Bombyx mori: one gene and its partners. The protein of the gene in region 2 binds, or shares a complex with, the protein of the main gene of each other region. Links are inferred from orthologs where the notes say so. Each region holds a gene or a part of one and is shown on either strand. Other genes may lie near its edges.

What was found.
Region 1: protein brunelleschi (region 2) and trafficking protein particle complex subunit 11 share a complex: the UniProt entries of both Homo sapiens proteins name them as parts of the multisubunit TRAPP (transport protein particle) complex. The link is inferred for Bombyx mori from reciprocal best matches to the Homo sapiens genes TRAPPC9 and TRAPPC11.
Region 3: protein brunelleschi (region 2) and trafficking protein particle complex subunit 12 share a complex: the UniProt entries of both Homo sapiens proteins name them as parts of the multisubunit TRAPP (transport protein particle) complex. The link is inferred for Bombyx mori from reciprocal best matches to the Homo sapiens genes TRAPPC9 and TRAPPC12.
Region 4: protein brunelleschi (region 2) and trafficking protein particle complex subunit 8 share a complex: the UniProt entries of both Homo sapiens proteins name them as parts of the multisubunit TRAPP (transport protein particle) complex. The link is inferred for Bombyx mori from reciprocal best matches to the Homo sapiens genes TRAPPC9 and TRAPPC8.

Annotation. Positions count from the first base shown.
Region 1 is NC_085125.1:14,659,995-14,664,650, reverse strand, and holds the start of trafficking protein particle complex subunit 11, read right to left. Parts: upstream 2,897-4,656; 5' UTR 2,708-2,896; coding exon 1-2,707. UniProt on the Homo sapiens protein: Involved in endoplasmic reticulum to Golgi apparatus trafficking at a very early stage.
Region 2 is NC_085109.1:9,241,021-9,244,916, forward strand, and holds part of protein brunelleschi, read right to left. Parts: intron 3,112-3,896; coding exon 2,479-3,111; intron 1,570-2,478; coding exon 1,405-1,569; intron 984-1,404; coding exon 823-983; intron 529-822; coding exon 291-528; intron 1-290. UniProt on the Homo sapiens protein: Functions as an activator of NF-kappa-B through increased phosphorylation of the IKK complex. May function in neuronal cells differentiation. May play a role in vesicular transport from endoplasmic reticulum to Golgi.
Region 3 is NC_085126.1:10,491,062-10,493,931, forward strand, and holds part of trafficking protein particle complex subunit 12, read right to left. Parts: intron 2,028-2,870; coding exon 1,904-2,027; intron 1,098-1,903; coding exon 849-1,097; 3' UTR 1-848. UniProt on the Homo sapiens protein: Component of the TRAPP complex, which is involved in endoplasmic reticulum to Golgi apparatus trafficking at a very early stage.
Region 4 is NC_085111.1:9,714,460-9,718,917, forward strand, and holds the start of trafficking protein particle complex subunit 8, read left to right. Parts: upstream 1-1,613; 5' UTR 1,614-1,797; coding exon 1,798-1,954; intron 1,955-2,616; coding exon 2,617-2,778; intron 2,779-3,467; coding exon 3,468-3,756; intron 3,757-4,046; coding exon 4,047-4,191; intron 4,192-4,458. UniProt on the Homo sapiens protein: Plays a role in endoplasmic reticulum to Golgi apparatus trafficking at a very early stage. Maintains together with TBC1D14 the cycling pool of ATG9 required for initiation of autophagy. Involved in collagen secretion.

The DNA of each region.
Region 1 (4,656 bases), on a different chromosome or scaffold from region 2:
TTAAAAGATCCCAAGGACTTAAAATTTTAATTTGTGGCATGACAATAAAGGGGTCATCAACAAAGCATTTAGAAATAGGACTAAAGTCTGTACTAACAAATGCACTGGTTACTTCAAAAGGTTTGATGACAGTTATTTTACATGTAAAATCTTTCATGCACTCTAGTTTCTTGATTGCAGGAAGGTCTATGATGTATGATATTCTAATTTGAACTGTTATTGTGGCTGTTCTGTTTGTTTTTAAGTAGAATGTATTAGTGTGAGTTCCTGATCTGTTAACATTGCCCACAGAAATATGTAAAGGTTGTAACTGAGCTTCACCTTCCTTCAAACTTAAATCTGTTACTGACTCAGGGTTAGGATTTTCAGGTGAACTTAATAAAGATAATGCTATCTTTGTACTAGATACAGCAATTTCCTCATTGTTTGTTACTGTGAAAGTGGTTGGAAACCATTCTCCCTGTAGAGCAGGACTACAATTTGTAACTTCAATGGACCATTTACACTCTCTTGATGTTACTGAAGCTACTCTCAAAGGCACAATGCAATCAAATTCATAGTCAGATTTAGGGCTCATGATGAAGTGTAACAATTCTGGATGTATAATTGACTCTGACTTCTTGTCATCAGTTTTAAAATTCAATATAATTTTTCTTTTCCTTTCAGAATCAAGAACAAAAGATACACATTTTATCTGTAAATCTGATCCAACATCCTTGGGATTAGGTTTGAACTGACACAAAAACCTTTTCACTTTGCTCCCTTCTAATGTTATGGTCTGATTAATATCATCAGTTACTGGGATCTCAATAGTCTCAGATTGACTTGATATTGTCAAATACACCTTCTTTACTTCTAGGACAGCTGGATATGTTAGCCTAACATACAGTTCCACTTCAATTAACTCATCCATTCTATATTTCATCTGTTTGAATTTAGGTTTGATTTCCAAAAAACTGGAGATGTTGGCCATATCCACAGCAACCTGCAAAGGCTCTTTTTCGATCATGGACTGCCACAATTCCACAGCTTTGCTTTGAGAAGAGGATGGCAGGTCGGGTTCAGGAGCTGGAATGTTTAAATGTATAACAGACATTATATTTCTGAATATCCTATCTTTATCATTGTTTGGCACCTGGATATTTTTAGAGAGTGCTTCAATTGACAGCTGTAAATAGTCTTGTATTTTTGCTGCAAGGTATGCACACTGCAGAGCTCTGTTCAAGACATGTGAAGCTAAATACCACCATTTTTCTCTCCTGTAATCCCACAACATGTGAGTCAGCAAAGTTAGTGCTTTCCCATAGTCAGCAGAATAAAAATATTCATTTGCCATTTCAACTACTAGTTGCTTCCTCATTCTAGGAGAGTGAAATGACTTAAACTGTGAGATAGCACTGCCAAGGAAGCTGATGATGATTGTAGAATGATTGAATATCCTTTCATTGTATTGTAGAGCTAAGATAGCTGCCTGTTCTTTTTGAGGGTCATGAGGATCTGCACTTAAACGACCAGGTCTCCAAGGTCGCTGACCATAATATTCTAGAATACCATCTAAAGGATCTGGAGCAGGTGGATACTGTAATGCTTCAGCACAAAGAGAGCGCATAGCCTGTCTTCTTTTTACAGTAAACTGAGCTGCATGCTGGTAGTAAAACCCAGGATGCTGAGATTGAATGGCTGGCAGACCAGCCCTGATAGCTTCATCAAAAAGTTCTCCAAAGGCACTGTACTGTCTAGCTAGCCACGCATAATGTTCAAACAGTAGGTCAGTAGAACCAACTCTACTTTTGTATTTCTCAATGTGAGATTTTAATTGTGAAATTGCATCTCTTGGCAAATTTAATGCAAAAAGTATCTTGCACAGTTTGTAGTTAATATAGCCAGCAACTGTTCTAACTTCATGCAGGTTTGTATCTACTGTTCTTGTTTCCAGCAGGTTGTTGTAAGCATGAACATAATGCTTATGTGCAGTATTGATGTCCTGCTTCAACTCATTCAGATAGCCCAGTTTGAACTGATGTCTGACAAAGAGATACTGATGTGTTGTTTTATTGAGGTGGTCTCTGTGCTGCTTAATGTTTTTTGCTTCATGGTGGTAATAATTTTGTGCAATATCATAAAATGCATTTTCTAACCGGACTATATAACCCATTAAGTGATCACCATGAGGAAGCACAAACAAGGATTTAGACTGGATCTCACAAGCAGCACAAAGTGCCTGGGCACGCTCGGCTCCAAGCATGTACTCAGAAGGAGGAGGAGATTGCCGACTTTGTATGACTACTACAGCCACACGAGTAGCATGTCCCTCTACTGCAGCACGGATAGACTGGACTTTGGATGCACATTCTATAATTTTCTCATTCCACTGTGTATCATTCCAATCCATATCATAGAAAATGACTATGACAGCGGGTATTAGCGATACACGCTTGTGTATCCAGTTTTTTTTTAGTATGCCTTTAGGTATGTACCATTCGTATGAATTTCTCTTAGGCTTTACCACTGGAAACTCAAACGTATTGTTAAGTAATTTGAATCTCACAGGCGTGCGATCAGCGCGTCGGTTATTCGCGAATGCGTCCCAGATTTCTTTGTGAACGGCATTGTTAACTGCATCAAGTCCAGATAGTCCTATCAGAGCCAGAGGTTTCAGAATGATCTCCGTAGGGAATTCGGTATAATCATTAGGCTGGGTAGCCATTTTATATGAGCTTAATCATGCAGTAGTATAGCACACTTTAACTTCTAAATACTATTTTAAACATCTCAAATATCACGGTGAACACAAATTCAGATTCTTCTACACGACAGTGACACCCCCATCATTCGTTTCACAAATTTTTAACGTAAAACGTCAGGGAGTAATGTCAAAAGTAAAATTGAAAGCTTTGCTTTGACGTCTGACGTTTTAGAAAGATTTAGTATGTAAGTCGTAAATAGCAGTAGCCATAGAAAAAAATGTACCTGAGGGAGCTCATATAGAGTCCCTTCTTTATTTCGCCTGGTTGTGTTTTATGTAATTAACACCACAGTTGGAACAATATTAATTTTATTGTTGTAGCGGCATAAAGTAATTACATTAAATTAGTTATTTAACTCATTATAAATTATTTTTATGTTTTTCATATTTGGCGGTAAAAAAGGTATTGTGGCACAGACTATCTCCTTTTTCCCACATCTCGTGCGTTCCGGCTTACGCATAATAAAACGCCACACCACCCCCCTACGGAGAAGGAGAATCCGCAGAAAAAGAGAAAAATTATCATAGGTCGAAAGGTTTGGAGAAGTGGACTCTGCGACCTGACCGGGTGGTATATTGAGGTGTATGTGTAGGAGTAGCAGTTAGAGGTGCCGAAGGCACGAGTGGACATGAAGGGACATTAGTAGCATCCGGTTGCGCTGGTTGAGGCACAGAAACCCGCGGTGCTGGGGCTGGAACGAGATCTACTAAAGAATGCTCGACGAAAGCTGGCTTAATTCTGTCGACACTGACCGTCACCTGTTTCCCTTTTACATCAATCGACCACGTTTTTCCGTCCTCGGCTCTAGATATAACTCTATGAGGACCAGAGTAAGGTGGTTGCATTGAACGTCTAACCGAATCCTCCCTGAGCATGACATGAGAGGCGGTGGAAAGATTTTTAAATATGAAAGGTGATGGTTTAGTGTGTGAGGAACATGGAGTGGGACGCAATTTAGACATACGCTGTCTTAACTTTACGACAAAATCCGTCGGGTCCTCGAAACCAGAAGGACCGGGAGGTACTAACAGTTCCCCTGGAAGCGTTAATGTTTCTCCGTAAAGCAATTCCGCTACTGTTGCTTGTAGATCTTCTTTAAAAGCTGAACGCATTCCTAATAAGACCAAAGGTAATGCATTCAACCACGAATCATCATAACACATCAGAGAGGCCTTTAATTGTCTATGCATGCGCTCCACGAGCCCATTGGCACAAGGGTGGTAACTAGTAGTGCGTATACGTTTAGTACCACATAAATTAGTAAGGCGTCTGAAAAGGTCCGACTCGAACTGTCGTCCCTGGTCGGTAGTGATGACAGCAGGTACTCCGAATCGAGCAATCCAACCGGCTACAAAGGTGCTCGCCACTTCTTCTGCTGTTATTCCGTGCATAGGCCAAACTTCGGGCCATCGAGTGTAGCGATCCACAGCAGTCAGGCAGTATTGGAAGTCAGAACAAGATGGAAGAGGGCCTATGATGTCAATATGGACATGCTTCAGTCGAGACGTAGGACTGGAGAAGTGTCCAAGTGGAGATTTTATATGCCGCGTCACCTTACTTCGCTGGCAAGCAACGCAGGTTTGGCACCAATAACGGCAATCTTTGGCAATGCCAGGCCACACGAAACGGTCTGAGATCAATCGAATGGTTGATCTAGTACCAGGATGGCTAAGATTATGTAGCTGAGCAAAAATCTTCTTTCGCATAGGTTCCGATACAAATGGGCGTGGTCGCCCTGTTGACATGTCGCAGACCAAAACAGTGTTTGTGCCAGGAACTACGACGTTCTCTAGTTTTAGAGAAGAATTCGCATCGTTACGATACTTTTTCAATTCGTCGTCAAGTTTTTGGCAAGCGGAGAGAGCAGAATGGTCAGTTTCAAAACTAACAGCTTCGATGCGGGACATGG
Region 2 (3,896 bases):
GTAACCAGTAATTTAGCCAATTAAGATAATTTTTTTAAGACGATGGTATTCCTTAGTTGTGGAAGTCATTTGTAAACATTACTTAAGTATGTAACATGTAAAGAATTCCTATGTTTCCTTGTAAAAATTGGTACTACTTTAAGCTGCTAATAGTCCATTCACAAAAGTTCGAAAAGGTAACTTAGTTGATGGAAGTCATCTGGCTAGGCCTCGGTAAACACTTAAACCAATTCGTCCAATTGTCGTCGCTAATAAGCAAAATAAAATTTTAATAATTATCGAGAACTCACCCATTTTCCCTTCTTGTTTCTTAGCGTTCCTCTCCAAGCTGCCGAAGTGTATCGGTGTAAATATGAAAGGTCCGTGGTGGGCCTTCGATTTAACAAGATGCGGAGCCCTCGCCGGAGGTAACGGCCTGGGTGTGAACCAAGAACAGTTCGGTACGTGACTGAGGTTCGCTGGTGGAATTACCTCGCCTGTTTCCAGCACGAGAGGAACCGGACCCCCTTCGCATTGCGCTGATAAAGCCTTGAAGGAAACGAACAAAAACTTTGTAATTCTAGCAACACTAACTTATCAATTTTGTATATCTTCAGAACGTTTTCATTTGTTACAAGTTACAAGTTTTTTTTTCTATATCAATTTATATAATTATACAATAGTATTTAATTAGTATCCAAATTGGTAATAATTTTTAGACTTCAAACACGTGTTAAGATAATTATCAAATGGTCTTGCATAGTTCCTTCGATGGCTGGGTTTATAAAATTATTAGAGGATGCAAGGAACGATCGGTTAGTACTTGAACGATCCGATAGATACCTGCAATTGTATGGCCAGATCTCGGTGTTCCTGCTTGGTCAGATGAGGCCACATCGTTTGAAGTAAAAACGTCATGTGCCTTGTCGCAAGAGCCGGGTGACCCATCCTACGGGCGGCCACAACTAGTTCTTGTAGTAACTGAATCTGAAGCGCTGGCCAGCCTTGCGTAACACAATTAAATTATAAGTGATATATGTTTCACAGAAATTTAGATTTTTTTTATAAAGATTTTAGGACCTGGTAACATGACCTTTAAGCCAAGTCTTATAATTTCTTCCTTTATTGTTTTATGAAGTATGATATCAAACGAAATGAGATAAGAGAGAAGCGAATGAGACAACGTTATTAATTTTTTAATAAGTTAAATAAGTTAAAAGTTATTAATTTAAAAGTCCCTTCGAATATAAATTCGAAATTATTCTTATTTTATATTCGCTTTTTATCCGTTTTATAAACGTACTTAAAGAAGTCTGCTATTAAAGTTCGCTAGTTTTTTAGTATTCTAGGCTAGTTATCAAGAAATCTATCTGCTGTAAGGGATCATTGAAATGAAAAATAATAACATCTGTGCGAAATACTTACCAACTTGGTGTTGTACAACGTAATTGGGATCTAAGCTAAGTTTGTGTCCTGGGAAGCTGTGCAGCATGAGATAGTAGCACCGTTGCCAATCTGGATTCGGGTTATTCGGACTAACCTGTCTCGTCGCCGCCAATCGTTGGCAAAATGCTGCTTTACGGAGGAAACCTAAAAAAATATTATCTCTACAAATTTTATCAACAAAATTACTAAATTTAATGTTTAACTCTAAAAGTCCGACTGGCGGGGCTTTTGTGAGTTCGGTATTCCGGGCTGTTGGCGAAGATGCTAATAATATGGAAATAATGTTGACACTGATTTGTATGAGGTTTTAATATAAAAGCGACACAATAACTAAATTAAAATAAAATACAAAATGAGTTGAAAACAGTACAGATAAACTAAGACTAACAATATTTTGCCGGTCGTCGTTGCGCGCGATGAGGGCGTGTGTTTTCGCGCTCCGAGAGCTCTGTCTCAGCGGGGGGTAAGGCGGCGACGGGGACGGTATCGCACGTTCGGATATTTGGTTCCGTTATAAATGTCATTATTTATTGATATATTAATTACCAGCTTTGCCCGTGACGTCAACCGCGTGAACTTAGGTAGTCGCTTGGAAGTTCATTTACATAAATCATGTTTTAGAACCATGGTGTAATTTAAGAAACTAACAACGCCATATATGCTTTATAGATAAGGTAAGCAACGGTAATTTCTTAAAATTTTAATAATTTTACCATAAATGGAGAATTCATGTTTTAGCTTTAATAAACAACAACAGTATTGATGAAGTGAAACTAAAAAGTTAATATCAAAATATATTCATTATAATTATAATTGTTTTTTGCTGATGAATCCGTGAAGCAGTAATGCGTTTCGATTTGAAGGGCGGGGCAGCCGTTGTAACTATACTTGAGACCTTAGATCTTATATCTCAAGGTGAGTGGCGCATTTACGTTGTAGATGTCTATGGGCTCCAGTAACCATTTTACACCAGGTGGGCTGTGAGCTCGTCCACTCATCTAAGCAATAAAAAAATAAAAAAAGAACTCTTCTAGCCGAATAAATAATACTTACCAATATCTTTATAAAGTTCGGCTAACGTGTCAAATCGTTGTATCTTCTCCTGTTCGCTCAGCGTCAAGTTAATGAATATCACGTTCTGCAGAAAGCTGGACGCGTGTAAACTATTATTCTGCTCAACCGCTATCCGGGCTGCCTTAAAGCAAGCCTCGGTTTCAATGATACCGGCGTTCTGGTACTTGCTGTAGTGGATTATCGCCTTGCGATACTTTTCCGCGATTTCTTCTCCATTCAACAAATATTGGTTAGTGATCTGCGATGGCGGTTGGCGCGGTATCGACGGTAGTTCTGTGCTTAAATAGGATTTGGGGCTTTGGTATTCAATATCGCTGGACGAAGCTAAGGATTCCGTGTCACCGTTGTCGGTCTCCGATTGTCTTGAGGACGTGTCAATGCTCTCTGAGGAAGTCGGAGTTAGTTCACTCGGTGGATTAATTGGACTCGACGTTTTGGAATTACGTAAGGGTGACGAATTCAGTTTGAACTTTCTAAATGGATCAGTTGGCTGGAAGAGAGACAAAGGCTTGCTTTTGCTCGGCGAACTTTCTTGAAGGCTCGCGTTTCGCTGTAGCGGTGTGGAGTTACGTAAATTCGGATACAGTAGTATAGCAGACGACGCACATAATCCTGCAACAACATTAAACTATAGTGATAGTTGTGGTTAAAATAAATTAATAAATATTAAAAATGTCTTTTTTTTGTTAGAATTGTTTATATTTTAACTAAATCTAATTTAAAACTAAATCAGTACCCGACGTCACTGATCAAGTGGTATTACTAGTCATCACTGGTAATGCTAGAATTATGATTGTATTTCACTAACGCACCACTCACTACCGGAGCCAAGGTCATTCATCCCTATTACATACAGTTCTAGCTTTTATCCTCAGCGGAATTGAAAAGATGGCTTATATTAGACATGCCACGAATATTCGGCTACTATTCTGTATTCGGCCTATTCGGCCACTTTGTTTGGTATTCGGTATTCGACCGAATAATAGGTACTATTCGGCCGAATACCGAATACCGAAAAATGACGGGCATGTCTCAAATCACGTTTGGTAAAAAACTCTAATCATGATTTTTGTTTATTATTTTCACTACAAATCTCATAATATTCCCATATGGTCGATTTTTTACTAATTGGTGTCATTTTTTAATGAACAAACAATTGAAAAAAAAAACTAACGAACAAACTTTTCTACAAAATCGTAATGTTTTATTTAATTTGTTATTTATATTGATCTGACAAAGCGTGCCGTGACGTGATTTACTCGCAACTGAAACAGTCAAATGGCCGGACACCGCCCGCGCACGATGGAGACAGGTCCCGCTTCAGCCGACAGCGTTGCCGAATATTCGGTATTCGGTATTCGGCCAAATCACTATTCGTGGCAACTCTAGCTTATATG
Region 3 (2,870 bases), on a different chromosome or scaffold from region 2:
TTGACTTTGTATTCCATTGGCAGTCACAAAACTCTTCGGAACGACATCTTAGATAAATAACAGGTTAACTATTAACCTTTATTTAATGCAGGTTTTGAACCGTATTCTTTGAAGGAGACGATTATATTCAAATCAATCTGTATTGATATATCAATAACATTTTTTTGTCCAAATGCACAGATTGCCACCTTTGATAATAGACGACTCATATATCGAATTGACCGTGGCACACATATGACGTCTCACTCAGCGGAACATCATCCCGTTTCTAGCTCATCACTATTCGCTTTAACGCTATGAATAAAGGCTTCGTCAAACAGAACGCGTACTTAGCGCGCGTCAGAACGCTAAACTGACGCCACGCTATGACGCCGAGATGTGTTGTACTATTATGGTAACAAACTGTCATACAGAGCGCCAGCGCTTCTTCATTTCATTACACTGCATAATATCATTTTTCATAAAAATATGTGAATATAAATTAAAATAAGATATGACTTAAAGGTCTTAGTTACCGGGCCATAAAATCCCTTATAAAAAAAAAAAGAGCGCCAGCGCTGTAAGTACGCAACGCTATGTCGCGGCGTTAGGGCGCTTTGACGTTAGGCGTTGTAATTTTTTTCAAATTTCATTTTAGAGTCCTAGTGAATGTGTATAATTTTTTTTCATTTTGTATTTATTGCCCTTGTAGGCAGACGAGCATACGGCCCACCTGATGGTGAGTGGTTACCGTCGCCCATGGACTTCAGAAATACCAGGGACAAAGCCAAGCCGTTGCCTATCGAGCCAAGCCACCTGTTTGACGAAGTCTTTAGTTGAGCTTACGTGTTCACTGCTAGCCGCAGAGCCTACGCGAGCTTCAGACATTCGAGAACGTTCGGTATCGTGTCGCTCTTGTACTTGCACAGCATCCGCAACAGATTGAGCTTTTTCTCGTTCGTCTTGGACGACTCCAGTTCGTAAAGCGTGCACAGGTTGACGAGGAGGCTCTCGTTGAGGCCGCGTTCCGGGTCACTCTTTATCGCCTTCTGCAGCACCGATATGGCCTCCTTCAGGCGACCCATGTACAACAGGCACACGGAGATGTTGTTCGCGACCTGGGATCACAAATGTAAAGTACATATATATCATTTTGTTTTTTGAAGTTATACTTCTTTAGGCGCGTTATGAAAAATTGATGAGAGTGAAATTTTACGATGCGCGCGCACCGTGACACAAAATTAACCGAAATGAAGTCGCCCACTAAATCGCTCATTACAATACGACCGACGTAACTTGGCGAGTCTGAATATAGCCGCAGGTGAACTTTCCAAACCGTACCGAGAATTACCGAATTTATACGATGTCAAGAAAAGTGATGTCCCATATGCGTGTTTGAGGATGTTGTTTCATCGACTTTTTTTTCAATTTTATTAAAATATAAATAAAAAAAAACATTAATAAAAATAAAGTATAACTTCTTACGCGCGTACATAAGTACATGCATTCTTTTTTTCCCTACCCAAGCTGATAGATAACCTTGAGAGGCTATTTCAGCGTAACCTTAACTAGTAGGTGAGCTCACGGGGCTCAAACCTGATGACGTTGCTAACACGAACCCTAGCAAGAGCCGTGCTTCGCAGAATCTACCACCGGATCGGAAACGCGACCCACTGAGAAGATCCGGCGAGAAACTCAGTGGGCTGTGTCTGTGGGTTAATTTACTAGGTTGAGGTACCTAAAAGCACCGTTAGTAGATCGGGAGGATCCGAAACGACGTGTTTTGGGCGACGTCGACTGCTTTCCATTCTGTCCGCAGGATCGGGAATGCAAGGACTACTACAGTGTGGCAACAGTGAAGCAATCACTCAAGTAACATGTTCACGGGTGCTCACGAACGGTAGAGTTTAAGAACGAGCCGCACCATAATGTTCGTGGGTTCCTGGTCGGCCGCCCTCACGAAGTCGTTGTAGGCGTCTTCGTACTTCCCCTGAGCCATCGCCACCAGCCCGAGGTCCACGTACTCGCGCACGTCGGGCGTCGGACATCTGCAGACATCGCAACCCACCATCAGCGTGACCCCGCCACCCCGGAGAGTCCATACACATCAATTACTGGTGATAGGACCTCTTGCGAGTCCGTGCGGCTAGGTACCACCACCCCGCCTATTTCTGCCGTGAAGCAGTGATTTCGGTTTGAAGGGCGGAGCAGCCGTTGCAACTATACTGAGACCTTAGAACTTATATCTCAAGATGTCTATGGCCTCCATTAACCACTTAACACCAGGTGAGCTGTGAGCTCGTCTACCCATCTAATCAATAAATAAAAAAACATGACGAGACGGTCAGTCTTAATATCAAATCGGAACGCACGTCGGCTTCGCGGCAGAGATAGGCAGCGTGGACGTACCTACCCGCGCGAACCAATAAATAACAACAGAAAGTAAAGTACAATTAGTGTTTGTCTATATGTTCCGGGCATGACGTGGGAGGAGTTAGAACAGACTGCCCAAGACCGATACAAATGGAAAAATTTGATTCGAGCCCTACACCCCAGCAGAGGGTAATAGGAAAGCATGATGATGATGATATGTTCCGGGTGGTCAGAGATGCTATGTTTATGGGTTCCTGTAACCGCTTTACAGCATGAGGACTGTGAGCTTGATCACATCTCTATGCAATAAAAAATATTTTTTTTTTAGAAAAAACAATTACGTGACCATATATTATGTGAGATTAAGTAAATAACAGTCTTTTGGAAAAGTAGCAAAATTTCATAAATTAGCACACGTCGTAAAACGTTCATACCTCTAATGCCCGATCGCCATCTTGAACTTCTCTCTTCCGTCCCTTTCTTCCTCATACATTCATCCCTTTCACTCTAAACGTTCC
Region 4 (4,458 bases), on a different chromosome or scaffold from region 2:
AATCTGAAACAATTCCTCAGAGCACTCCCACTGGAACATACGGTACCAAATACAGAGGGAACCGAAGTCCCTCCGCAGACCCAGAAGCTCCAAACGATCCGTAAGGATGGGATTATCGACAATCCGAACGGCCCTCTTCCGGAGTTCTCCACTGCAGACACAAGTTTTGATCGTCTCTCTTGCACCACGTTCCGAGAGAGACTCTGATGGCCGATATATCGCGCATCCTCCGTGCTGTCATCCGCATAGCAATGCATGCCATCAATAGACAGCATGTCATTGATATACAGGATGAAAAGCGTGGGGGAGAGCACCGAACCTTGTGGAACGCCAGCGTTAATGGTCATGGTATCAGAGCAGTCACCATCTAGAACGACCGTGATGCTCCGCCCATCCAAAAAGCTAGCGATTCACTTGCAGAGTCCCTCGGGGATTCCGTAAGATGGTAGCTTCGACAGTAGTGCCCTATGCCAGACCCTGTCGGAGGCCTTCGCGATATCAAGGCTCACAGCAAGATCCTCGCCCTTGCTCTCCAAGGCTTCAGCCCACCTGTGAGTAAGGTATACAAGAAGATCGCCAGCTGAGCGACCGTGACGGAAACCGTACTGTCGGTCACTGATCAGCTGGTGATCTTAAAGATACTTCAGGAGTTGTGTATTTATTATTCGCTGCATCATCTTGGAAAGCAAGGAAGTTATCGCGATAGGCCTATAGCTCGATGGGTCCGACCGGTTACCCTTTTTGGGGATAGGGTGGACGTGGGCGGTCTTCCATGAAGACGGAACCCTGTTAGTGCAATAAGAGAGGCGATACAAACGCGTTAGCGTAGGTGTCAGCTCAGGGGCACACGTTTTCAGAACCACTGCGGGGATGCCTGCCGTCTGGCCCACTCGACTTATGGACGTCCAGGAGTCTGACGCCTGACTGCACACTGTGTGAAGCAGATCTCCGGCAGGGAGCTATCACACCGGGGGATGTTCGGTGGTGTGGCACCCTCGTCGTCCACGGTCGAGTTCAAGCCGAAGAGTTTGACCAGAAGGTCAGCCTTCTCTTTCGTACTGTGAGCCAGTATCATCGGTCTTGCGCAACGGTGGGAGACTAGACCTGCAAAAGTTTCCTTCTGCAGCTTTGGCGAGCGACCAAAAAGCACGGCTCCCGGAGGGATAGCTGTTTAGTCGCTCGCCAACTCTAGCTACGTGCTCCGACTTCGCTCTGGCAATAACCTTCTTGTAGGACCTGGAAGCGGCGATAAATTTCCGCCTTTCCCCCGAGATGTTAGGATCCCGACGTCTTCTGGCATCATCCCATGCCACGTATGCGGACCGCTGGAGGTGTGCAGCATCCCTGTTGGCATACTGAGATTATATTTCGTCCCATATCATTTCATTTAATTTCATCCCAGTTGATTAATGTCTCAAATTCTTCATTTCATTTCACTCCATATTATCATTTATCATAAAAATATCCCATATCATATCATCTCATCTCATCTCATTTCAATTCATTTCATTTCATGCAATGCCATATTTCATATTAAATTAATCAGCTTCATTTCATTTCATGTCATACTTCATAAAAAAAAGATCAGGCTGTATGGAGAGATGTCCTTGCCTTTCTGTTTGGAAAAATAAAACTACTACTACATAGCATATTTACAAAATACAAAGTGATTTTTAATAACTTATTATATATTTGAAAGTGTTTTCAAAATAACATGTACATATTCAGTTAACTGTACATATTTATATTAAGCTATACTTCATTTATTCAGCACCCGCAAAAAAAACATTATCAAAAATGGCTAGAACTGGAAAAACAGCCCAAGAATTTATTCAGAGTTCGTTTTCGCCTATAGTTGCAGTACTATGCAGTCAAAAGGTTGAAAATATTGTGTCGAAAAATAATGTAACGTTTCCTGAATTATTACAACCATTTTGCAATTTGGATTGGGAAGGTAAACAAATCTTGAATACCTTCAAGTAAAACAACATCAGAACGCTAGTCTTTATTATCTGCCAATAATCTATCTTTCATACAGCTGCTTAAAATATGGGATACTAAAGTATTACTGCTTAAAAGCAGGGATACATTTTTTCATTATTTATTTTATATTTATAAAGAACACAACCATCACATGTAGAATTCAATTACATTAATTGAATAAATATATTTCTGAAAATACTGAGCCAGCCTTTGGTTCCACACAATCCATGCCATTCTATTAGACTCTTTCATATGAAATTGACTATCTCAATTTTGACTTCTACTATATTTTATAAATTATTAAAGATATTTAATTTCTCCCCTCAAATGGTTCCCTACCAAAGAAAAATTAAAGTATTGCAGTATTGTAGTAATGGCATTCTAGTATAAAATTTAATGATGAAATTTGTTGGTACAATAGTCAAATGGTAAGTTAATATCTTAAGAAACAATATAATATGGAATAGATTTACCTTCAATAAATCATAAAATTTAATTAAGAAAAACTGCATTACTCTTGCTAAATAAATATTGTAAGTAGTGAAGAAGTCAATCACACCTTTTATTTATATATACTAATATAATAGAATGGAGCATCGCCATTATAAAACATGATTTTTTTTATTTGTTCAGGTCAGTTCCGTGAACCTGGTGGCAATACTTGTGTCATAAAAAATATGAAGCTAATTGTGAGAGATGTGAACTGGAAACCCCTACAGCCTACTGAGGCTAGAAGACAGCTCAATAATGCTGTTCTTTATAATTACAATGACAAAACTATATCTGTTGAATTAGGTGAGCATTTAAATGTGAATTTTTTTATTGCTTAGATGTGTGGACGAGCTCACAGCCCACATGGTGTTAAGTGGTTACTGGAGCCCATATACATCTACAAGTTAAATGCGCCACACACCTTGAGATATAAGTTCTAAGGTCTCCGAATAGTTACAACGGCAGCCCCACCCTTTAAACCGAAACGCATTACTGCTTCACGGCAGAATAGGCAGGGTGGTGGTACCTACCCGTGCGGACTCACAAGAGGACTCACAAAACGAGCCAGCAAACTCTAAGCAGCTTCCTATCGTTTTGTTCTTTCCTTAAATGATATGAATTCTGTATATAAAGCCAACATCCTTTCTGGTTTGAAGGGTAAATCACCCATTGCATCAATGCAGCAAGGACTGATTTTGAATGTCAAAAGGATAATTCACCTTGTGGAACTTACAAACCGTGGAAACTTCTAAACAGTAGTTAGTTTACCAAAAATAAATAAACCATGCAATTCTAAAAAATACCTACATATTTATGTGTATATAAGTATCAAAATGCAATTTAATTTTAAAATCAATATTTTAAGTAGATTTTATAGTATTTGTCTATGGGTGATGAATTATGCTTAGTTTAGCAATTGAAGAGTGTTTTGATTTTGTTGAAAAACATTAAAATAACAATGAAAAATAATATTTTTTTAACACATATTTTAGCTGGTCGAAGTTTTTTAATACCCCAATCAACACATTGGTTTGATGCTTGGAGGGAAACATACCTAGATGTGCAATTTCCATCTGACCATGAATTCACAAAACATTTCCTGTCATGTATTATTGTGGGAACAACTGATGACGAAAATGTTGTGGACACTTTCAATGGCCTGAATCAACAATATGCCCAACTACAGAATGTAATGCCACCAAAATTGCCTAAATGGTTCAACAATTGTATTCTGAAAACATATTTACTACTTCATGATGTATCTGTTGTTTCAAAAGAAAGGTATGTTCTTTATTTCCGTCAATAATATAGATGGTCAGATGAGAGTGCGGCTCAACTGATGTTAGGTTCTTACTGAAATCCACCACAATGTGAATTCCGCCGCTGGAATGTGACATAGGTGTTTCGGTAGGCAGCGGCTTGGCTCTGCCCCTGGCATTGCTGAAGTCCATGGGCGACGGTAACCACTCACCATCAGCCGTATGCCCGTCTGCCTACAAAAGCAATAAAAAAAAAAACATAATATCGAAAATTATTTAAGTTAATGCCATTGTATTTTATTTATGTTAAAGGGCTGATGCTGTGTTTGACACGTTGAAACATGCTTTTGGACCTAATAGTTGTTTTATGCTTCCCATTAATTCTAAAAGTACGTCAGATGCTAATGTACCTGCAGATTTATGGAGCCAGTATATTAAGAGATCTCCAGATTCCACCGTATGTAAATTTTTCTATGACAGAATGAAACTAATTAAAATTTTTGGTAGGCAGTGACATGGGTTTTCCCCTGGGATTGCTAACGTCCATAAGCCACAGTAACCACTCATCATCAGATGGGCTGTCTGGCCGTTTGCCTATCAGGGCAATAAAAACATAATTAAATTACTATTTATCTAGATTAAAATAAAGTGTCCAAATAAATGAGAATTAGGTGTGACAAAATTATAATATTCAAAAAGAAACGTGGTAAATGCAAATATAAAT